3 linked regions of the Pelodiscus sinensis genome follow. The protein of the gene in region 2 purifies or fractionates together with the protein of the main gene of each other region. This does not show direct contact. Links are inferred from orthologs where the notes say so. Each region holds a gene or a part of one and is shown on either strand. Other genes may lie near its edges.

What was found. The genes of interacting proteins can lie anywhere in the genome.
Region 1: the proteins of CUL4B (region 2) and COP1 purify together in Homo sapiens (affinity purification with western blotting; 4 studies listed by BioGRID and IntAct, with this or other methods). This does not show direct contact. The link is inferred for Pelodiscus sinensis from reciprocal best matches to the Homo sapiens genes CUL4B and COP1.
Region 3: the proteins of CUL4B (region 2) and TRPC4AP purify together in Homo sapiens (affinity purification with mass spectrometry; 4 studies listed by BioGRID and IntAct, counting the BioPlex papers as one, with this or other methods). This does not show direct contact. The link is inferred for Pelodiscus sinensis from reciprocal best matches to the Homo sapiens genes CUL4B and TRPC4AP.

What each region holds. Positions count from the first base shown.
Region 1 is NC_134719.1:61,208,511-61,216,130, forward strand, and holds the start of COP1 (E3 ubiquitin-protein ligase COP1), read left to right. Parts: upstream 1-4,613; 5' UTR 4,614-4,685; coding exon 4,686-5,035; intron 5,036-7,620. UniProt on the Homo sapiens protein: E3 ubiquitin-protein ligase that mediates ubiquitination and subsequent proteasomal degradation of target proteins.
Region 2 is NC_134723.1:33,772,549-33,780,424, forward strand, and holds the start of CUL4B (cullin-4B), read left to right. Parts: upstream 1-4,862; 5' UTR 4,863-4,979; coding exon 4,980-4,998; intron 4,999-7,876. Other genes in the region: MCTS1 (malignant T-cell-amplified sequence 1), read right to left, coding at 111-121.
Region 3 is NC_134728.1:33,288,654-33,296,339, forward strand, and holds the start of TRPC4AP (short transient receptor potential channel 4-associated protein), read right to left. Parts: upstream 3,008-7,686; 5' UTR 2,961-3,007; coding exon 2,850-2,960; intron 1-2,849. UniProt on the Homo sapiens protein: Substrate-recognition component of a DCX (DDB1-CUL4-X-box) E3 ubiquitin-protein ligase complex required for cell cycle control.

The DNA of each region.
Region 1 (7,620 bases), on a different chromosome or scaffold from region 2:
GAATTTGCTGCTACAGGTTGAACCTCTCTCATCTGGCAACATCTGTGGTCTGGCATGATGTGGTTAGCCAGATGTCCGCTGCACTGATCCGATGGTCAGCTGATCCGGCACAGCACGGCCGTCTAGACCTCGTTTCACTAGGCATACTGGAGTGGTTGACAAAGTCTTCCCTCGTCAACCGCGCCGCGTCTAGACTGCCACACTGTGCCAGATCAGCTGATCGTTGGCGCCGCGCGGCGGCCATTTTTATTTTAATGAAGTGGGGATTATTTAAATCCCCGCTTCATTGACTATGCCAAGTAAACTATTTTACATGGCTTCGTCGAGGGAGCCATTTAGTCTAGACGTACCCAGGGTGTTTAAGCACTGAAATAAATTGCCTAGGGAGGCTGTGGAATTTCCATCACTGGAGACTTTTAAGAGCAGGTTAGACTGTACTTAAAAAAAATTCACCAGACCACTGAGAGCCAAGGGACACATTAGTTCTCTACTACCTACCATTGAGGAAATAGAGCTATTAAAAAGTCCTATTAAAAATCACAACTCTCTCTCTCTTCTATTCTATCTATCTATCTATCTATCTATCTATCTATCTATCTATCTATCTATCTATCTATCTATACATTAGAGATTTGTGAGTCTGTCTGTGAATCTGTCTGTCTGTGTGTCTGCAAGTTCATTTATTCAAGAACTCCTCCTAAACGGTAAGTCCTATGACCACCAAATTTGGTATGCATACAGCTTCCTCTTATCCTAACTTAAAGCAAGGTCAGGGTTTGGCTGTGCCGAGCAAATGGGAAGTGCCGCGAATAGGACTGTTTTCCATAATACGGAAAGGGGGGCGGGCAGAGAGGAGGGATGCGATACTGAGAGTGACCACTGGGGGCAGCGAGCATGCAGGGGAGAGCTATACTGTAGAGTGGCCAATAGGACTAGGGCTCCACCATCTTGCCTGCCACCAGACTGGATAAGTAGCCCCTCCCCCAGCCTCCAATGCTGGGAGGTGGGGTGGGGAAGGCCCGTACTGGCTGGGAGAGCTGGGGGGAGACAAAAGGCTGCTGCCGGCCAGGGGGTTGGGGGAAGGTAGAAAGCCCTTGGTGGTGGGGATGGGGCTAGGAGGAGAGAAAAGGACCCTGTGGCCAGGGAGGCTGGGGCAGGGGGTGGGGGAGGAAGGAGACAGAAAGCCCCTGGCCAGTCCTCAGTGTCAAACAGCTAGCCAACACTTCCTTGTATTTAGAAAAAGTGCCAGTCTCACTTGCACTGAAGGACTGATGAAGGGCATATTGTTCCCAGTTACTTCTATGGTTGGGCTAGCCATCTTCATTACAGCTCTGGCAGAACAGTGTAGGTAAATGGAGACTGTGTCATAAAAGTCACAAATACAATTTATGCCGAGGAGAAGTGATGGGTGCAAAAGTGCAGAAACATATATTTCTATTAAGGTTCATTCAGCTGCAAACGCTTCCTTCCTTCCTTTCATTATTAAGATGCCCCAGTAATATTTGACTATGATAGAGAGTCTCCCTTTTTGTTTTGGGAATGTATTCTTAGTACATCATCTTCTGATCAGGACAATCAACACACAAGTAACCTTGCCACTATCATACGGTGGGACTGGAATACAGAATATTGTGAATGTGGAAGACAGGAGACTCTACAGGACAAATCTGCAAGAGGCAGAAATCCAAGCGTGTTTCTGGAAAGGTGTTCTCTCAACTGCGTGTACGTTTACTGCAGTTGTAAACAGCAGTGTTTCTCAACCAGTGGTCTGAGTACCCTTAGGGTAGAAATGTACCACTTAGGGGTACTTGAGAGAAGTCTGGGGAGGGGGGTTAGGGTTAGTCTGGGGAGGGGGGGGGGGGTACATCAACACAACTGAAATTTGGAGAAAACTGAATTTTTGTTGTAAGTTTTACAGCGCTTTATTATTTTTGTACTTTTTACACCCAAAAATTTCATCACCCACCCAGCTATGATTAAGTTGTTTAAACAAATGTGTTGCAATGGTAGAAAAAAAATGTGTTTGTCTGAAAACTGTAGGTACTGGGGGTACTTATAACTTTATAAAAAAATGTTGAGAAACACTGGTGTATACAATGCAAATGATCACACGTGCCAGCATGGAGTTTGGAGGGTAATTTTTGTGTATACAATCACCATAAATGCATGTGGAGCACTCTGGCCTAATGAGTTTGATTACAGCGCAGTCTGGAGGCTGTTCCCACAACCATATAATCCATTACTACTTCACTGTTAGAACAGCAGATAGAGAGATAAGATGGATGAGGTAATGCCTGTTATTAGACCAACTTCTGTCTGTGACAGAGACAAGCTTTGAGGTCTGGGCTCTGTGTGGCTCGAAAGTTTGTCTCTCACACCAATGGAAGGTGGTTGGATAAAAGTTATTACCTCATTTATCTTGCCTCATATCCTGTGACAAACTGAAAGTACAGCACGTAGGTAAAAAAAATCTTAAACTCAAATGGCAGACTTGCTTTTTTGATGCTGACAGTGCTGGGTTCAGTCTTTACGCACAACCATGGTATTTATATGCATGTGTTGCAAAGGCATGTACAGAAATGTGTGGACTTCCACACGTGCATTGGCTTGGATCAGTTTATTTCACTGCAATAACATTCTTCAAAGATATTATTTTGTTTTTAATCTCTGTAACTTTTTGGAATCAGTGGAAATATCTGAGAGCAGGATAGGCTATAGGCATTCCACTAGTTGCTATCAGTCTGTCTTGATCTTCAGTTTTGCAGCAACAGGAGTAGATATGAAAAGATTCAACCTATAACAGCTTATTTTCACATGAAGATGGCTGCAAAAGGAAACTAAGTGAAACAGATTAATTCTAGTCAGTTTCTCCTTGTAGCTAGCACCAGGTGAAGTACTAGATGTACTGAGAAACTGAATAATCCTGGTTAGTTTCTCTTCACAAGAGAGAAATATAGTCAAGTCATATTTTCACTAATATGGTGTGCTTCAGTTTTGGGTGTCCAATCTCAGACACCTCATGCTGGATTTCAACAAGTGTGTTGAGATGAACAAGATCTGGGTGGGGGTACTAGTGGGAGGGTAAACCTGACAATGTGGGAGAAGGGCAGGAGGAGGACTGAAAAAAGATACATTGGAATGTGGGATACAGGAAAGAAAATGGTGATTAATGGGATTGTAGACTATAAAAAGACTAAAAGGGCAAGGAATCAGGGTCAGAGATGGAGAAGTGGGGGAATATGTGGGGCAAAACCTGTGGGAAAGAATGTAGGGAGAAGAGACTAGGATAGACATAGCAGCAGAGGAGATAGGGAATAACTGATAGGCGGGTAACGGACGTAGTGCAGTGCTAAGGGAAGAGGAACAGGTTACAGAAATGTACCACTGCAGAGCTCTAAGGGTATGTCTACACTACCACCCTAGTTCGAACTAGGGTGGTAATTTAGGCAACTGGAGTTGCAAATGAAGCTCGGGATTTGAATTTCCCGGGCTTCATTTGCATAAAGCCGGGCGCCGCCATTTTTAAATGTCCGCTAGTGCGGACTCCATGCCGTGCGGCTACACATGGCACGGACTAGGTAGTTCGGACTAGGCTTCCTAGTCCGAACTACTGTTACTCCGTGAGTGCCTGGCATCTCCGAAAATCAGGCTGCAAGTGATTTGCTCAGAGTTGCAAAGCAAGGTGGGTACAGATTGTAGGAGTCCTCGAGTTGCCATCTGTCCCATCCACGTGTGGATAAGGCTGTAAGAAAACAGTGAGCCACGATTGTTGAGGAGACCACGTTAACACGGGTCCCGTAGTTGCCACAAATCTGAGTGGTGTTGTGATCCCTTGTGCCACGTCATAGTGTGGCTCACTCAACTTTGACCCGGCTGCTCTCCATCAGCCCAGTCACCACGCCGTCACAATGGGCGGTTGGGCCAAATCTAAGCGAGTGGTGTTGCACAGTCACCCCTCCCCTCCAATCCGGCCCTGCTGCTCCGCCATCCGGACTCGGCGGGGCCGGTGGCGGATGGGGTGGATGGAGGTGGGGTGCTGAGCAGCTTGGGGCCAGACTCCCTGTGCGGCTCGCCGGACTCGCTGTCCCAGCTTGGTGCCCGCCCTGGGCCGTGTGGGGCAGCTCCCCCTTGGCCAAGGGCAGGGACCTGCCTGCACCTTGGCCGTCCCAGCAGCAGGCCAGGCATGGGGCGGCCCCACAAGTGTGTGTGGGGGGGGCTAGACCTTGTGCCTGGCCTGGAACAGGCAGGCCCTCACCCAGCCCATGGGAGCCAGGCCCGGATGTGGGGGAGGGGAAAGAACGCAGCGCCAGCTGGGGAGTAAAGGGCTCTCACGCGTCCTCGTTCTGCGAGCCGCGCATGCGCCGCCCTTCTCGCTCTCTGTCCACACCCCCTCCCTCTGGCGAAACCCCATTCTTCCCCGCCGACCGCGCGCGTGCGCAGTGGCTGCTGAGCGCGCCTCGCCCCGCGTCTAGGCCCGCTGTCTCCCGCAGAGGAGGGGGGGGGGGCTGTCAATAAAGATTGAACAAGGCCGCAGAGGCGCGCGCCGGCCCGACTGCGCACGCGCGGCCCCCACCCCGCCGGGTGGGCGGCGCCGATTTTCAACAAAACTTTATTGTGCCCCGTGGCGGCGGCGGCGGCGGCGCCGCGCAGGATGCGCTGAGGCTCCCCCCCCGCCCGGCCTCGGCATGTCAGGCAGCCGGCAGCAGCCGTCGCCGCAGCACCCCCCGGCCGGGCAGGGCGCCGCGGCCTCCGCCGCCACGTCGCCCTCCTCCTCCTCCTCCTCCGCGCCGGCGGCGGCGCCGGGCTCCTGCTCCTCGTCCGCGGGGCTGGGGGGCCCCGCGCGGCCTGTGCTGGTGGCGGCCGCCGTGTCGGGCAGCGGGGCGGCGGCCTCCGTCCTCTCGCGCCTGGCGGGGGCGGCCCGGCCCGGCGGCGGCGGCGCGGCGGCGGGCGGCGGCAGCCGGAAGAGGCCGCTGCTGACCCCGCTCTGCAACGGGCTCCTCAACTCCTACGAGGACAAGAGCAACGACTTCGTGTGGTGAGCGCGGGGGGGGGGGCGCGGCCCCTCCCCCTGCACAGCCCGCGGGGGGGGGGCCCCTCCCCCTGCACAGCCCGCGGGGGGGGGGGTCCTGCAGGTTCCCCCCGCCGAGCCCGCTCTCTCCGCCCGGGGGGGGGGGGGGAGCGATGCGACATCCCGTGTCCTGGGCGAACGCGTGACGAGATGGCAAAGAGGCGAGCGGGGGAGGCGCTGCGGTCCTGTTGGATTGCGGCCCCCCCCCCCCCCCCGCCAGGCCGCCCTTCCCCTCTGTGGGCAGGGGCTGCTCCTGGCGCCTGCCCCCCTCCCTCTGCCACAGGCTGCACCCGCTGGGATACATTGGCTGTGCTGCAGCAGCGCCTGTCCCTGTGGGGCTGGAGAAGCCCCCCGTCTGCGGCAGCTCTAGCCCCCCGGGTTAGCCCTAACCAGTCAGCGTCACCCGTTAAGGCTCAACCCGTGACACCGACCTGTGTTTCCCTGAGGCTTGGGCCCTGGCAGGCTGAGGCCAGGAGGAAGTTTCAGAGATACAGGCCTTCCACTGGGGGTGAGCCTAGACTCGAGGTCTGGTCTAGGAGGTGGCCCGAGAGTCACCCGGCTACCGTAGTTCTGGGTAGGGCCCTACCAAATTCAGGGGTCGTTTGGTTTCATTTCATGGTCATAGGGTTTCAAACGTTATTGACTTGATAATGTCAGCAATTCAATCTGAAATTTTAGGCTGTTATAATTGCAGGCATCCAGACCCAAAAAAGTTTTTTTTTTGGGGGGGGGTTGTCACAAGGTTATTGTAAAGGAAGGGGTTTATGATACTGCTACCCTTACTTCTGCACTGCTGCTGATGGCAGCACTGCTTAAAGATGGGGTGGGATGATATTGTCCCCCCCTATTTTTGTGCTGGGGGGGAGGCAAGGGGGAGCTGCACTGCTTTCAGAACTGGGTGCCCAGCCAACAGCCATGGGTCTCTGGCCACCCAGCTCTGAAGGTGGCAGAAAAGTAAGGGAGGCAATACCATGACCCCTTACTTCCACAAATAATCTTACAATCCCCTGCAACCTCCTTTTGGGTCAGGACCTCCAATTTGAAAAACACTGGTCTCTTCTCATAACCCCCCGTATGAAATCTGTATTGTATATAGGGTAAAAACACACAAGATTAGATTTCCTAGTTGCTCCATGTGTGGCGGGGGAGAGGGGGAGAAAAGATTTAATTGTCACTGACATATTTTCCATGGCTGTGAAGTTGGTATGGCTCTGTAAGGGGGACCAGGGAGGAGCTCACCTACTGTGTGTGTGGGGGCGGGTTAGGGGGGTGGCGAAAAGCAGTGGGTTAGTGTGTGCACTCTGCTTACGTTGAGTACTTTATAAGAATAATTGTATTTTTTTAAAATGGTTAATGGCTGTGTTTAACCTTATTTTGACTTTAAACATGAGTATCCTCATAGGTGTTTGTGTTGTACATTGAGTGAGTTAATATTTTCTAATTTAGTGTATTTTTCTGTCGAGAAAGTCCTAAAATATTGGGTCTTAGTTTATAGATTATTTACAGGTGCACTAGAGTCTTCTCGTTAACCAATTGGTGTCCAGTATAAAGCACAGAGATTGTGCTGGTTGTATGTGGTAGTTGTATTTAAATCCACTTAAGACCAGCATTTTGCCTACCTAAAGTTTCAAGGTACAGTAAAACTCCATTGGTCTGGCACCCAATGCTCTGGCACTCCTGATGGTCTGGCACCATCAGGAACCCGGAAGTGCTCTGGCTGCCGGACAATTGGAGCTGCTCTGCGCCCGGCTTCCCTGATTCAGCCGCTGCTGAAACTGACCAGCAGCTGAATTGGTGAAGCCGGGGGCAGAGCAGCTGGGGTTCTGCCAGGTTGGTCCCGTAGCGCTGCCCCTCGGAGCTGCGGGACCAACCTGGCAGCACCCCAGCTGCTCTTCCCCAGGCATCCCCAAGTCAGCCGCTGCTGAAACTGACCAGCGGCTGACTCCAGGAAGCCCTGGGCACAGCTGCTCTGCCCCGGGCTTCCTGGAATCAGCCGCTGGTCAGTTTCAGCAGCGGCTGACTTGGGGATGCCTGGGGCAGAGCAGCTGGGGTGCTGCCGGGTTGGTCCTGTAGCGCCGCCCCTTGGACCAACCAGGTAGCGCCCCAGCTGCTCTGTTCCAGGTGTCCAGGATTCAGCTGCTGCTGAAACTGACCAGCAGCGGCTGAATCGGGGACGCCTGGGGCAGAGCCAGACTATCGGAAGGGGGGGCTATGAGGGGTCTGGGGTGGCATCCCTCCCACCCTACCCCAGACCCCTCATAGCCCCCCCTTCCGATAGTCTGGCATATCTGATAATCCGACACCCCCCCCCGGGTCCTAAAGGTGCCGGATTATCGGAAGTTTACGGTAATTAAGTACAACATGTTGCAATAGTGAGTTGTAAGGTTATAAGCCCAGAAGTCACTGGGTGAGATCCACATGGGGGAAAAAAAGATTTGCAGCAGACTTTAGATGAAAAAAACTACATGGCATATTTGCTATCTAAGTAAGCATCCTGAAAGAGCAATAGAGTCCTTCTCACTACAAAGTATAAAACATTGGCAAAGTCTATT
Region 2 (7,876 bases):
CGCCCCGGAATCCGCAGGGCTCAGCGCCGCCAAGGAGGGCAGGGCCCGGCCCCACGAGGGGCGCCCCCCGCCCATCCCCGCCCGCCGGGGAACACGCCCCCCTCACCTACTTTTTGAACATCTTGGGGGCGCTGGGTGCCGGCCGCAGGCGGCGGGCGGGTCCCTGGGGGCCGCGCGGACGGAGGGGCTGGAGGCGGAACTGGCATCCACGGGCTCCCTAGGTTCTTCACACGCGGCTCCGGACCTTCCGTCCGCCTCAGCCGGAAGCTGGCCTACTTTACGGCATTGTCGCACGGCACCATCGCAAAAAAAAAAAAAAAAAAAAAAAAAAAAAGGCGCGTGACGAGCGGCCGGAGGGGGGTTGGGGCGCGCACTACAACTCCCGGCGGCCAACGCGCGGCACCCCCTCGCCGGCAGGTCTGCCGCCCCGTGACGCAAATCTCCGATTCCCGCGCGGGGCCCGTCCCGCCTTCGCTCAGCCGGGCACAGAGCCCGAGCGTCCCCCTGGCTCTCCGCGCGCCGAGGCGGGACACAGCCCCTCGCGACACGCGCGTGCGCGTCGCAACCCCTGCAAGCCCCGCTCCCTCTGTCTGGCAAGCCCGCACCTTTCCTCGGGCTGGCTGTGGGGAACCCTGGTTACAGTGCTGGTCTATGGAGCTATACCTAGCCGTCTCATAGCGCTGGAAGGGACCAGTCCCCTGCCCTCACTGCAGGACCGAGAACCATCCCTGGCAGAGTTTGCCCCCGATTCCCTAAATAGCCCCCTTAAGGTTTGTGCTCGCAACTGTGGTTTTAGCAGGCCCATGCTCACACCAGTCAGCTATTCCTCCCCGCTGCGAAGGAGTTACTTCCTGAAGTGCGTGGACTCAGGCTCTGCCACTTAGAGACTGAAAAGCACGTTTAAGAAGTCAACATGCCCCAATGCTATCTTCTAACTTAGGGTACGTCCAGACTACATGCCTCCATCGACGGAAGCATGTAGATTAGCCAGATCGGCAGAGGGAAATGAAGCCGCGATTAAAATAATCGCGGCTTCATTTAAATTTAAATGGCTGCCCCGCTCTGCCGATCAGCTGTTTGTCGGCAGATCGGGGCAGTCTGGACGTTCCCCTGTCGCCAGAAAACCCTTTTGTCGACCGCCCCGTTATGCCTCGTGGGATGAGGCATAACGGGGCGGTCGACAAAAGGGTTTTCTGGCGACGGGAACGTCCAGACTGCCCCGATCTGCCGACAAACAGCTGATCGGCAGAGCGGGGCAGCCATTTAAATTTAAATGAAGCCGCGATTATTTTAATCGCGGCTTCATTTCCCTCTGCTGATCTGGCTAATCTACATGCCTCCGTCGACGGAGGCATGTAGTCTGGACGTACCCTCAGATGGCAAAGGAGAGAAAGGACAAATTTGGGGGGGAGGGTACAGTGGAGGGGAAATGAGGCCATGGCACCAAAATCAGGGGTGGGCCACAGATTGCCTATTTCAGTCAACTGAAAGGCGGCTGGGGGAGAGGCAGACTGGGACAGTGCTTCCTGGTGCTCTCATTGTCTGTGGACAGTAATCCGTGGATACCTGTCGAAGCACAGGTAAATATGGAGGTTGGGGCCCACCAGGAACTAAACCTGCAGGCTGGAATTTGCCCATCCCTGCTCTAAATCCTACTATGTGGCAAACAGGTTGGTAGTGTCAATATCTATACCATAAGACAAATACCCAAGTCCTCCATGCTTGTACTGAAATCCATGTTTCCTTAGGGAACATTCTACTACCTGCTGCACATGACAGCAAATTATGCCTTCTCTCTCCCATAGCTTCATGAGGATGAAGCTGAATGAATTGCAACTAAGAGTTTTCTGACTACTATGGGGCAGGGGGCGGGGGGGGGGGGGGAGATTCAAAAGGAACTCACTTTCATTGAAGACTAACCCTTGGTGTGGTTTCTCAGAGAAGCAGTTCTTGAGAAATTCCAAAATAACAAGTCTGAATTATTTTCAAGTGAGAAATCTGTAAAACAATCTGATTCACTTCAAACTGGGAAAATTTAAAACACACACACTAAAATAGACCAGAGTCAGATATCATGCAGATTGGTTTGAGAAAAAAAGTTATTGGAGAAGGCCAACTTTTCCTGCAAAAAGGGCTCCATCAACACACGTACAAGAGGAGACTTGGGAGGGTGGCCTTGTAGTTGGTACCAAGTAGGCATGAAGGAAATTTCAGTTAAGTTCCTGGCTCTCTTGATGACTTAATAGACAATCATAGCCAAGTCACTTAGGCCTGTAGTAAGTTAAAGGCCTGTAACATAAAAACAGCAGGCCTGAAATCTAGTGAACAAGACTTTGGCTCAGTGAAACCGGAGGCAGGAAAGAGGCTTGGCTAAAGAAAAATAATATAAGCCAGGTCAAGCATAAAGAATGCCAAAAGGTACCAGGCACAGGCTGCAAACACATTCCAGAGAAGTTGTAACAGAATGCCTGGCTAAGAAACATCTTGGTACCAACCGCTTCCCCACAAATAAAGTGCATACCAACCTAGGTTCAGGACCAGGTCGAAGTTGACAGCATGACGGGTTGGCTACGTCTAGACTACATCCCTTTTTCGTAAAAGAGATGTAAATTAGACGTATTGCAATTGCTAATGAAGCAGGAATTTAAATCTCCCCTGCTTCATTAGCATAAAAATGGCTGCCGCTTTTTTTTCGGCACAGAGCTTTGCCAGAAAAAAGCGCCAGTCTAGACACTGATCTTGCGGAAAATAAAGCCTTTTACGAAAGATCCCTTATCCCTCTATGAAATTGCTCTGGCCCCGGCTGAAGCCTGTAAAATCCCTGGGTTTCATGGGAATGCCTTCTTCAGGATAAGCAGTGGAATGAAGCAGGGATACAACCCCAACACACAGAAATGTCAGCGCCCCTTATTGTCAAAGTAGTTCCTCAAAGCCTCCCTGATATTGATAAGCCATCTTACGGGCTCCTCCGACAGCATGATTGTCTGGCTGTTCAAACTGTGCATCTGGGTGCTGTCTCTCACTGTTCCACCCACAGGCAAACACTTCACCCTAACTCTCATACAAATTATATGAGCAACAGCATGCAGCCACCATCTTGGGGATATGATCCTCCAAAAAGTCCACTGAGACACCTCCATTTCCCTTTCAGTCTCCCACAGGCACATTCAGCAATGTGGCATCAGCTTAGCCTGTTGCTGAACCGCTTCTTACTACTGTTGAAGTGCCCCTTGTAAGGCTTTATGAGCCAGGTCTGTAAGGGGTAAGTTGGGGTTACCTAGGATCATTTCCACTTCCTCCACTAATTTTCTGTTATGGAAAGAAAGTCAGCCTGAGGCTTTCTGTACAGCCACTGTTCCTGAAAACGCATGCATCGTGCACTTCTCCAACCACCCCATATTTATATCTGTGAAATGCCTACAGTGATCCACAGGTGCCTGAAGCTTCATGAAGAAGTACCCTTCCGATTGATGTAGTCTGTGGCAGGCGGGGTGGCGCTATAATGGGAATACATGTGCCAATTGCCCCGCCAGTTTAGAAAGACCATTTCAGCAAAGTCAACCACTATTTATGTCATCCACATTTCTCAGACTCCCAGTCCTACACAGCAAAATATGATTTATTGCCCTGCACACTTGCATAAGTGCTGTCCTGACAGTAGACTTCTGTTACCTACAAGCTCTGTGTTCTTGGGGAACCAGGGTGTGGTGCTCATGGAGGACACCCACCTCACTCCAGCCCTCTGCTTGAACCAAAGACAAAGACAGAGGAAGACACACCTAAACCCTCTAGACAAGGGTGATAGGATTAAGTAAACACCCCTATACAACAGCATGGAAGACAGGAGAGGACAGACAGACATCTTTATTTGCATACAGAATGGAGAACAGCACTTCCCTGGTGGGAAATCTCTGCTCTAGATGCTAATGAACCCATGCTCAAACCCAAATCAGTAATTATCAAACCAATTTTAGCAATAGGCCCTCTATTGATATCCATTATATGATTTACAATATAAATCATCATGCTTCAGAACATAAGCCAACTTCTGCATGAGAGGTATTAGGAAAAGTCTTTCCCTGTGAGCAGGTTATTCCATAACTCTTCAATCTTTCTTTACACTTTCCTGTGAAGCATCTGGCAATGACAGCTATCAGAAACTGGATACCGGATGGGTAGGAATACCGGTCTGATCAGGTATGACAATTCTTATATTTCTCTGATGCTAGGGTTGAGATTTCACAGTAAGATACATTGGACAGAGACCTTAAGTTCTCAAAAAGGAAGGCTTCTATTTTACATTTTTATGTAATTTTGTAAAATTAGCAGATAAATACATCCTAAATTGATCACAAACCTACTGCACTGTAATGGTTCCACATTATTTTTCCTTGTTAATTACTAACATCTGACTACATCCTGATACATGAATTGAAATGTTGTCTTATGTACCACTATAAAAATTTTACTAGCTATTGCACAACAAAGCCTTCATTATGCTTTCAGAAGCATTGCTTGTTTGTTACTTGCAGCCTTAACACTACTTTCCTGGGTGTTATTCCCCACACTCAAAAAATAGTCCATCAAAAAGAAAGGAGAAGTAATTATTAACATTATTCAACACAGAGTATTTTGAAACTACAAAATAGTCTTAAAAATTAACAGAACAAAAGCTATCCTTCTCTCCCCTCTGAATTCCAAATAAGGCCCCATGTATTGCAGGGTGGAAAAAGATCCGTTTCTTGAAGACTGAACACTGACACTGGTTAGGGAGTGTGTCACTGGAGGAGATCCTGGCACCAAAGGTAAGGAAAGTTAAAGAGCCATTTCTGAAGGTCGAGGTGGAGTGGAACAACAGTGGCCTCCTATGAAGATCCCAGCTGCTGGAAGGGGGAATGGGTTCTGGTGAAGACAGTTATGTTTTATATATTTGATTAGGACCAAATTATAGCGTATCTGGTGATGGTTCTGATAACTGGATGTACAGTCACCACCATGGTAATTAGCACAAAGATCATAGATTAAATAAGTTACAATAGATTAATTTAAGTATCCATCAATATTTTATTGGGTCAGACTAGACATAAATGCTTTTGTTCTTTATACAGCTGATAGAAAAAGGAAAACATACAGATGAGCTCCAATCCTGCTCCTATAGAAGCCAATGGTAGATTTCTAATAGACTTCAGTGAAAACAGGATCAAACCCATTGAGTATGCAAACTGCTAGGTTATTTTTCTAGGCAAAGTGAACTGAACAACCTTGATACTGTACAATTTACTAGGGCCTAATGTTTAATAAAATTATAACTATGATACACAGTATAAAATGATACCTGCATAAAAAGCAACATTTATTCAAATGGTAAAATAAACATACTCATGGAGAAATGATAAATATATGAAATTCAGAGAGATTAAGGAATTCCAACATTATATAAATACTCAAGTATATAAATAAGTAATTTAAAAAGCAATTATTTGTAGTCTCATTTGAAAAAAATAATTAGGGACCTCATTCAATACAAATAGTCTTGTTATTCTCTCACTGGAGTATAAACAAGGGGGAAATTTGACACTAACTATTCCAAGAGGATTTTCTTTGAGCTTTGTGGAAGACATTTATTTTCTGTAATACAGCTACATCTTAGTAAGCATAGCCTTGCTAGACATGGTTACCCTTTTTTAGAGGGCTACAGTTAAGAAATTACTGTATTCACACAATATGCAAATAGCATGAAGAACAGGCCAAATGTTGCCCCCAATAACACAGCCATAAACCTGGAATGATTTCAGTGTACCTAAATATATAACCAGTAAAACTGAGAGCATAATTTGGCCACAGGGATCACACAAAAGGCTTCCACCAGGAAACTAGTATCTCCCGTCTTCTGATAAGATGAACTCTTTCTGTCTCACTGGGTTCCAAAACAGGATATCCACCACCTCTGTTTTTCAGTTCTCCCAGGTTCTTTTCTGCATATGAGTGTCTTTGGAGGCACATCTGCAAACCAAGACTTCAAGGCTACTTTAATTTTTGCATGATTGGAATGTTTGCATATAGACTGAATAAATTCCAAAGCATTTATAATGAAGTTTTGTAATGCAACTGTTCATCATTATTAATCTCACCAAGATTTACACGGAAGCCAGGGCACTCCCTGTTTCTTAGCTTGCATAACACCTTAATTAGCAGTGGCATTTCTACACTGAGTACCTCATGCAAGCTACTTTGCACTCTCAACTCCAAATGAAATCACCTAGCAGGTTCTAAATAGGGATGTGAAAGGTTAACTAGTTAAACAGTGTGGCCTAGAGCAGCTCCCCACTTGCCATGGCAGCCCCATCCACAGTGGGCCCAGGCACCTGCAGGCAGGGGCTACTCCAGCCTGTCCAGAGCAGCCACTGTCTGCAGCAGGGGAGGAGAGGACAGTCAGGATGTTAAGAGGCAGGTAATTGTATTGACTACACAATTAGTCTATAGGGGAAGGTGCTAAGTCCCAGATCATGCCAGATGTAAGAGCTACTTCCAATGCAGCTTTGCAGTTTAAATGTAGTAAGAGCTGGGTGCGCAGGCAGCCCAGCTCAGTCCCAACTTGAGCCGGGTCCAGGACCTACCACAGCTATGGCTCTGCATTTTAAATATAGTCAGAGCCAGGTGCACATTTTACTACAGGTTGAACCTCTCTAATCCAGTACTCTCTCATCCAGAAACATCTGTTGTCCAGAATGATTTTAGTTAGCTGGATGTCCACCTTTCATGGATGTGGCCAAGTTTCCCACAGTCCAATAAAGTTTGTTTACAGCCACCAGTCCTAGCTCTCAGTGGAAGTGTTGGTAATGCTGCTAGACAATACTGACTTCCTGTAGTCCAGAAAATCCTCTCGTTCAGAACTGGTCAAGTCCCAAGGGTGCCGAACTAGAGAGGCTCAATCTGTACACTTAAAATGCAGAGCTGCAGCAAGGATAGGTCCCAAACCCACTACAAACTGGGACTGAGCCAAGCTTGCTCAGTCTTCACATCAGGTCCAGCAGCCACCCCCAACCCTCTACCCCTCGCAGACAGGGACTGCTGCTGGAGCAGCCTCTGCTCACTGCGAGCCTGAGCCCACTGCGGCCAACCTCTCCTTCCCCCCACTACACACACACTGCTGTACCTGATAGAGGCAGCCGCACAGGGGAGGGGAAGGCTTCACCAGAGAGACGGTGCTGGGGGAACGGGCTTTTAAATCAGCTCCTCCCAGCAATGGTTCCTGCTTCCCCCCCTTGATGCCCCTCATACAGAGGCTGCAAGGGGCAGGAGGGAATGCAAGTAGTCAGCCTAGGCTTATCGGGTAGTCAAGAATTTGACTGCTCTCTTACATCCCTAGAGGAGAAGCAGCACTGGGGTAGCAAGACTGCTCCACCCCAACTGGGCTGGGGCACGCCCCCTCCCTTTACTCAGTTAACCAGTTAAACAATTTGTTTAATCAGTTAACCAATGAAATAGCATTTTACATCCCTAGTTCTAAGTATACAGCATTTAAAATTCTCAAATAGCTTCGGAGACATGAAGAAGCAGACAGGGAAGAGCAAACTGATAAAGACTAGCTAAACTAACTAGACTAAAAAGTAATAAAAGCAACACTTATATTTTACCTTTCTTATTACACTATTAGTAACCACATAATTGCACACTTATTCTATTACACATCGGCTCAAAAGCAATTTCCAAAATATCTTGCATATGGAAAAAATGCAAGGTTTTAAGTCTGAGCTCTTTATTTCTAGTATTCAGACAAAAAAAGATTTCCAGCAAAACTCGGTAAAATTTCTTCCAGATCTCTGTAAACCATGCTTTCTGTCAAGAAACGTTAGTGTTATCTTTTTTTAGCATA
Region 3 (7,686 bases), on a different chromosome or scaffold from region 2:
GCACCTCTGCTCTATGCCTCTATTATGGGACCTTCCTAATGCAGAACAGTGGATTGACCTAGTCTCTTACTGGTGATTAGTGTTTGCCTGGATGAGGGCTAACTGGCTGAATCTCAATCCAGATAAGATGGAGATAATGTCTGCAGATTTGAGAAGTAGCCAGGAAGAGCTGGAAAGATTCTTGCTGAGAATATGGCAACCATTTGCTATGGGCTGTCCACAGTTTAGGCATCTGGCTAGATATTCAGATACCAGCTGTAGCCAGACAAGTTTTTCCCCATCTGTTCCTGGTAAGCCTAGAACCACTGTACCTTCCAGATGCAGACTTTGCAACATTTATTTATTCATGCCTTTACCACTTTTAAGACTAGGCCACTATGTTGTTTCCTTCTTGGGGCTGGATCTTGAAATTGCCTGAAAACTGGAGCTAGTGCTGAATATAGGAACCCATTTGCTTACTACAGCTTCATGTCAAGAAAAATCATGAGATACTCAAGTAAGGTCACTGATTGCCTCACAGGGTCTAGATTAGGGACAGCAGAGACCATGTTTAGTAATCACGTCTCCATAAATTGCAATGGTTACACGATTACTAAAATACTCTTAGGGGCAGCCAGTGTGCCCTGCCTCACTCCCAGAGAGCCTCCATCACCCTGTGCTGCTGCCTCTGCATTACAAATAAAACAACAGCAGCAGCATTTGCTCCAGTACAAAAGAAATACATGCCTGGTTATGAGATTATGATACCAGCTTGAATATCTCCCAACTCCAAGCAAGTGTACAAAGATACATAGCATTTAACACTTGCACCACTAAAATGATTTTTAATGCCATAGTAAAGTTCTAATCCTGTGCCAATTATACAGTTCATAACCTGTCAAGCAATTCCATTGCTCCCTCAATCCAAGGAATTTAATGAAGTGTTCTTGTGGCACTTAAGTACTGGGAGCTCTCAGCCTTCAGCTTTAAGTTTCTCCAATGCAGCCAAGTCAGTGAGTTTTATAAAAGGAGAGATGTAGTTAGCAGAGAAATCCTAACCTAGTATTCTGGGAAACTGCACAGGTGTAGTCACATTTAATCAAACTTTTTACAAAAGCACTGACAAAAATACAACTAATACGATGCATAAAATGAAGGTGTACAAACATCTAAAGTGAATGCACAGGAAGGTGTCATTGCATTATACATATGATCATTTACTTAAATGTGTATAGCATGAGTATCTGCTATAGTAAGCACACAAAAAAAAGCACAACTCAGACCCTGAACAAGTTACCCACGTTAAATGATTTGCGGAAAACAAACTCATTTTCAAGAGGCCATGGAAAGGTTAAATTAATAGGTTAACAAAATATAAAGAAAAGTAAAAGCTGTTGAAAAGTCATTTTACTCAGACTGGACAATATACTGGACAGTTGGAAAGTGCTTAAATACAAATACTCTTCGTTTCCACTGAAATAATCTTTTGTCCCAAACCCCACCCAACATCAAGAACGTAAAGGGTAGAGGTCGCTTCTCATTAGCCAAGACTCTGTCAAACCCGTGAACCTTCTTTGCTGGTATTTCTACTAGGGGAGAGGAAGGGAGCATTGCCATAAAGCAGTGGTCTCCAACCTTTTTACACCCAAGATCACTTTTTAAGTCTCAGAACAGGCGAAGATCTACTGCCCCGCCCCTTCCTTGAAGCCCCACCTACATTACATGAGGAAATCTAATGTAAATGTACTGCGCAGGTGCGCAGTTCAGAGAGGGCTCAAGAACTACTCTTAGAGCCCCTGAGATCTACCGGTAGATCGCGATCTACTGGTTGGTGACCACGGCCATAAAATATACAGACAGAGAACTTGTTTCGAGTCCCATTGATTCACATTTTCCTCCAAAATAAATGCTACTTTCTTTATATTAACAACAGCTAGTAGTCTGGCACCCATGCACTGCTTTCCAAGACTGCAGAACATACAGCATAAGCAAGAAACAGACTTCATTCCCTATAGTCCTTGAAACTAACAGAGAAACCAGAGATTTCAGTCATGGTCAGTAGTATTTTAATAGAACACAAAGACTGGCCCGCTACTCAACAGGTGAGGAACCAGATCTTACTCAGCACTAAAGCCACTAGGTCATGCATGCCACTGAATCAAAAATAAGCTTAATATTTTGGGTTATATCCTAACTCCATGCCAAGTTCCATTTCTCTTCAGAATGGAGAGCTACTTAGGGATGTAAAATCCTGTTTAACTGGTTGAGTGGAGCGAACTCCTGCAGGTTAATGCAGTTGGGAAGCCTGTGAAGGCCGAGGTTTACCAGTTCACCACTAGCATCCCTGCCTTCCATTCCCACCACTAATCCAAATGCAAGCTCAGAACAGCGCTTGGACGCTGCCCCTCTCCTGCTTGTTTCACGCTAACACCGCGGCGGCGGGGGAAGGAGTCACAAAAGGGGCGCGCACTCCCCGTGCCCAGCGCTGCCGCGGGCCGTGCCGGGGGGGCAGGCAGGGGGGAGCCAAAGCCTGCAGGGCCCAAGCGGCCGGGGCTGGCGGCGCCGAGCAGGAGCCCGGCCAAGTGCTGCCGCTCAGCACGTCTGACCCCCCCGCAGATAAGGCCTGGCGGAGCCCTCGCGCCCCGAACAGCAGAGACCGGGCGGATCTTTCGGGGGGGGACACGAGCGCCCCGCCCCCCCGCCAGGCAGGCGCCTGCCCTTCCCCCGGGCGGGGGCGGGGGGGAGTCACGCGGAGTTTCGCCGCGCGGGGGGGAGCCGAGCCCGGGGGCGGGGCCGGGCCGAGCCCGCAGCCCGGGCTGGGGGCGGGAAGCGCCGCGCGCCCCGGGACAGGCCGCCCCGCCCCGCGGTACCTGCGCCCCCCGGGTCAGGCCCCGGCCGCTGAGCTGCCCGCGCCGCAGCTGGGCCAGGATGTTGGCCGCCCCCCTGCGGGCTCCCGGCCCCGGGGCCCCCGCCGCCGCCATGGCCGCTCCGCCTCGGACGCAGACAAACAGGAAGAGGCGCCCCCTCCCCCAGCGCTTTGTACGGAGCGGCGCAGGGGCCATCCCGCAGCGCCCCCCGCCGGGCCCCGGCCGCACTGCGGGGCGGGGGAGCCGCCCGGGGGCCGCTGGGAGTTGTAGTCCTGCGCGGGGCGGCCGGAGGCCCCCTTCTTAAAGAGACAGCGCCCTATTGGCGCCCTCGCGCGGGGGGCTGCGCACGTCACCGGGGCCCGCGGACACGTGTTCATTGCTCCTACAATCGAGGGGAAAATGAACTGTCAGGGTGGGGGAAAATGTTTTAATTTTTTTCTCACATCAGAAAAAAAAGAAACTTCTGGGGCCCACGGAATCGGTTCCGTGGGGCCGGAAACGGAAGAGTCGCTGCTGCACGTTAGATACAGATAATGTTGAATGTCGATATTTCAGGGCTCGCCGAGCTGCAGTAGGAATAAGAGATCCTCCGGCAAAGGGCTTTATTCCGGAGGATCGCGCCAGTCTGGACGCTCTTTTCCGGCTTTTCCCCAAGCTGGAAAAAAGCGGCGGCCATGTTTATTTAAATCCCCCGCGGATTTCCCTATTCCAAAGTTAGAAATTAGCATGCCTCTTCTGAAGAAGGGCCAGTGTAGACACAGCCTATTTGTCCAGCCTTGGATATTATTATGGTGCAAACGTGCCTAGGGCCCACGAAAGTCATAATGCAGCCCTGCTCCCGTCGGCCCTTGACATGCTCCCCCCTCGCTGTCCTCTCCCTGCTGTGCCTGTTCACCCTCCCCCAGCTGGGACTCAGAGCCCTGCGCCTCTGCGGTACCTTGAAGGCCTGAGACCCTTAAATGCTCGGAATAGAGAAAAGTTCCCCGAAAACCCCAGTCTGTGTGCTCCAGTCACCCAGCCATTCACAAAGAGCAGAGACTGGATCTCTGCAGCCATCGTTTCCCCATTTCATTTGTCACATGAAGAGAACATTCCCTCTGAGAAAGGAGGAGACATGCAAAACAAGCCCTGCCTAGTGGTTAGGGCACTGCGTCTTGGGAGACCCACGTTTAACTCCCTGCTCTGCCACAGACTTCCCATGTGACATTGGGTGCTTTACTTGGGCACCGTGCCTCAGTCCCCCTTCTATATAATAAGAATTATAGCAAAATGTGGCAGAGAGGAAAAATAAACTAAAGATTGCGATGTGCTTTGAGATCTACTGGTGAGAAATACTACATAGGAGCCAGGCGTTATTACTTGCCTGTAATGTCAGTGATGCTTGGGCTGGAAAAGATCATGAGGCCATTACTCTTCCCTAGTCAGTGGTGGTTTGAACAGTGAGCTGAGTCACTGTCCCATGTAGCGGCACTTAGACCACTGACAGCGAGAGACAAGAACAAGGGAGCGCTGCAGCCACAGCTGAGAGCCAGCTGGCTTTGTAGCTCAAGCTCTAGAGCAGGGGTGGGGAACCTGAGATCCAGGGGGCTGCTTGGATCCAGCCCCTGGGGCTCACGGACCCTCACAGGATTGGGGAGTCTGCAATGGTGCTCCAATGCCCCCACTTCTTCTCTGCTTCTCCACCAAGGGGCTGGAGCCCCCCAAATCTACTAGGCTGAGCCCCCCTAGGCTCTGGTGTGTGAGGGGAATGTAGGGAGAGTCTTTTCCCTCAGTCGGGGGCCATGGCAGTGAGGGGTTTCTTGTTTGCTTCTCACTTGTGTGCAGCCCACCCTTTGATTTGTCTGTGGGTCCAGACATCCCGGCTACGTCTACACTGGCCCCTTTTCCGGAAGGGGCATGTAAATTTCACTAGTCGTCGTAGGGAAATCCGCGGGGGATTTAAATATCCCCCGCGGCATTTAAATAAAAATGTCCGCCGCTTTTTTCCGGCTTTTAAAAAAGCCGGAAAAGAGCGTCTACACTGGCCCCGATCCTCCGGAAAAAGTGCCCTTTTCCAGAGGGTCTTATTCCTACTTCAAAGGAATAAGACCCTCCGGAAAAGGGCACTTTTTCCGGAGGATCGGGGCCAGTGTAGACGCTCTTTTCCGGCTTTTTTAAAAGCCGGAAAAAAGCGGCGGACATTTTTATTTAAATGCCGCGGGGGATATTTAAATCCCCCGCGGATTTCCCTACGACGACTAGTGAAATTTACATGCCCCTTCCGGAAAAGGGGCCAGTGTAGACGTAGCCCTCAGGTTTCAGTAGTAGTTACATAATGCATGGGGGAGGGGCAATACCCTTTTCTGGGCATTCCAGCCATTCAGTTAACTAATGTCTTTTCTCAGGGGTTAACTCCAGACCTAACCCTAATTGTCTTGCCTGTAAGGGTTAAAACCACAGACAGTGGGTCCTAGTGAGTCTCCAGGAATGCTGGGGAAGCAGGAAGTGAATTGGCAGGAAGCCAGAAGAGCCAAAGGAAAGCGAATGTGAGCGCTTGAATTGGAAGAAGCAACCTTCCTGTGCAACGCCTGGGAGACAGGAGTTAAGGCAGGAAAACAGAGCTGGAGGATTCAGCGACATCCATGCCTAGGAAAGGGTTAAGTCTTGACACTACAGAGATGTGAGTAGAACAGGGAATGTTTAGTCAGACACAATCAGGTGATTTCTTTATTTTCGGGTTTGTTGGACTTCTCTGTGCTGAGCACATATAACCCCCCTTACACTGCAATTTTCCAAACTGAATCTCAGGGAAGCACTTCTCTGTATTTTAATCCCCTTTTTTTAAGTAACACCCAGCAACCAGGCAATGTTTCACCAAGTGTGTTTGCTTTTTTGTTCTCGTTGTTATTAAAAATCACCATTGTAAGACCATGATCTGATCCCTGTGTCCTAGGAGGTTCTGCGTGCCTGTGATGTGCCTAAGACTGCAAGCTGGACTACTAGGAGAAATTAGTTTTCCAAGCTCTCTCCAGTGTGAAGGTTAAAGAGCTTGCAGGTATCCACAAACAGGAATTCCCAAGGGTGCTCTCCTGGCTACTCAAAGAGGTTTTGCAATACGCAGCCCAGGCCCAGGGTATGTGACCTTGGGGTTTTGAAGCAGAAGCCTTTAGAGGCAGGGTATTTTAAAGTTACCTGAGGGCCCTCACCTTCTGCAATCAGATTGACAGAGTAGGGAACAGCCTTGACGGGTATCGTGGAAAAAACGACATCATCACGCAGCCAGAGCCTGTTGCATGAGGCCTGCCACAAAGGGCAGAACTATAGGAAGGTTGCGCAGAACCTTCGTTTTGGAATGAGTGTTTCACCAACCTGACATGTTTTAAAAGAGGGTTGTGTAGTAGCAACATCGCTGTAGAGGCGAGAATGACGCTCGTTACTACGCTATCAGAGCACCTACATCTCCCCTTGCCAGGCATCTGCCGAACTCCAGCAAGCAGAGCTGTTTTCACACTCCCCAACTCCTCTTACATGTCTGGGGAGCTAAAAGAAACCAGGAGGGGGGTGGGAGAAGGTACTTCTGGGGCAGGGAGAACTGGAAATGGCAACAGCTTTGTGACTCTGCAACACAACGGTCCATAGAAAGGATGGTAAGGTTTTCTGGAGGGCTCTGAACATAGATGCAGGATGCTTTCCAATGCCAGAGACATGGGCTCAACCCGTGTTTGGGAAACAGTAGTAAGGCATGTCATGCATCGCTGGGCCTGGGATTGCTCTGATAGGATGTCTGGTCTGGATACCTCGCCTAGGCACACAGAGACTCTCATTCAGTAATAGACAGACCTGAGGGGCTGCCCAAACCCTGCGACCCCACCCCCACTCCAGTACAGGCTGCCAAGGGGTAACAGCGTTCACTGCCCCACCTGTGAGAGCCACGGCTGCTGCTCTGGCAGCTGGAAAAGAGGATGCTCATGGAAGCAAAGACTGAAGCCCACCTGCCCCTCTCACATTTGGGCTGCCCCTGCTACTTTCTGGAATGACTTCAGGGTAGCCAAGGGTTGCAATGCCTGGGTAGATCCGAGTTTCCTCTCTATAATGTCTAATGAACGTGATCCAGTATATAGCTCTGAAGTCCCCACACCCTGACTGCTGCCGCCAGCAGATGCAGTCATAGGTCCAATGGGCCAAATTTGGCCTGAGAGAGGTCACATCCCATGTCCACACCTGCATCACAAATGCCACGCCAGCAGGCTGCGTTTGACCTACAGAGTAGCAGCCTTCTTGCTGCGTGACCGCCCATATACAGGGTGGCCTTGCACGGATGGTGCATTTCTCCAAGACCTTCTATTCTCTCTTCCTGCATGAGCACTTGGGGACCGGTTATGCCTGTTCCACACGGAAGTGAAAGAGCTCTCAGGCTGAAAAGTGCTGGGATGGTTTTCTGAACTGAGACACATGCTGTGCACCCGTGCAAGCACCTGTTGATTTTCTGCATTCCCAAAGGAAGAGGGGCCTTCGTGCCTGTGTCAGATGTATTCGGGAGTTTGAATGAACAGAGTCCAGGCCTGCAAGGGCACCTCTATAGCAGAGTGACTCTAAATCACAGGACTCCAAGGCTATGTCTACACTCGCGGCTTCTTGCGTGAGTAATATGCAAATGAGGCTAAGCGTGGCATATCGCCGAGCCTCATTTGCATACCTAATGAGCCACCATTTTTTTCAGAAGAGGCTCTTGCGCAAGGAGCGTCTACACTGCCCCTTCTTGCGCAAGAAAAGCCCTCTTGCGCATGCCGTTACACCTAGTACTTTTCAGGAAGAACGGCGTTGAGCAAGAGGGTTTTTCTTGCGCAAGAAGGGGCAGTGT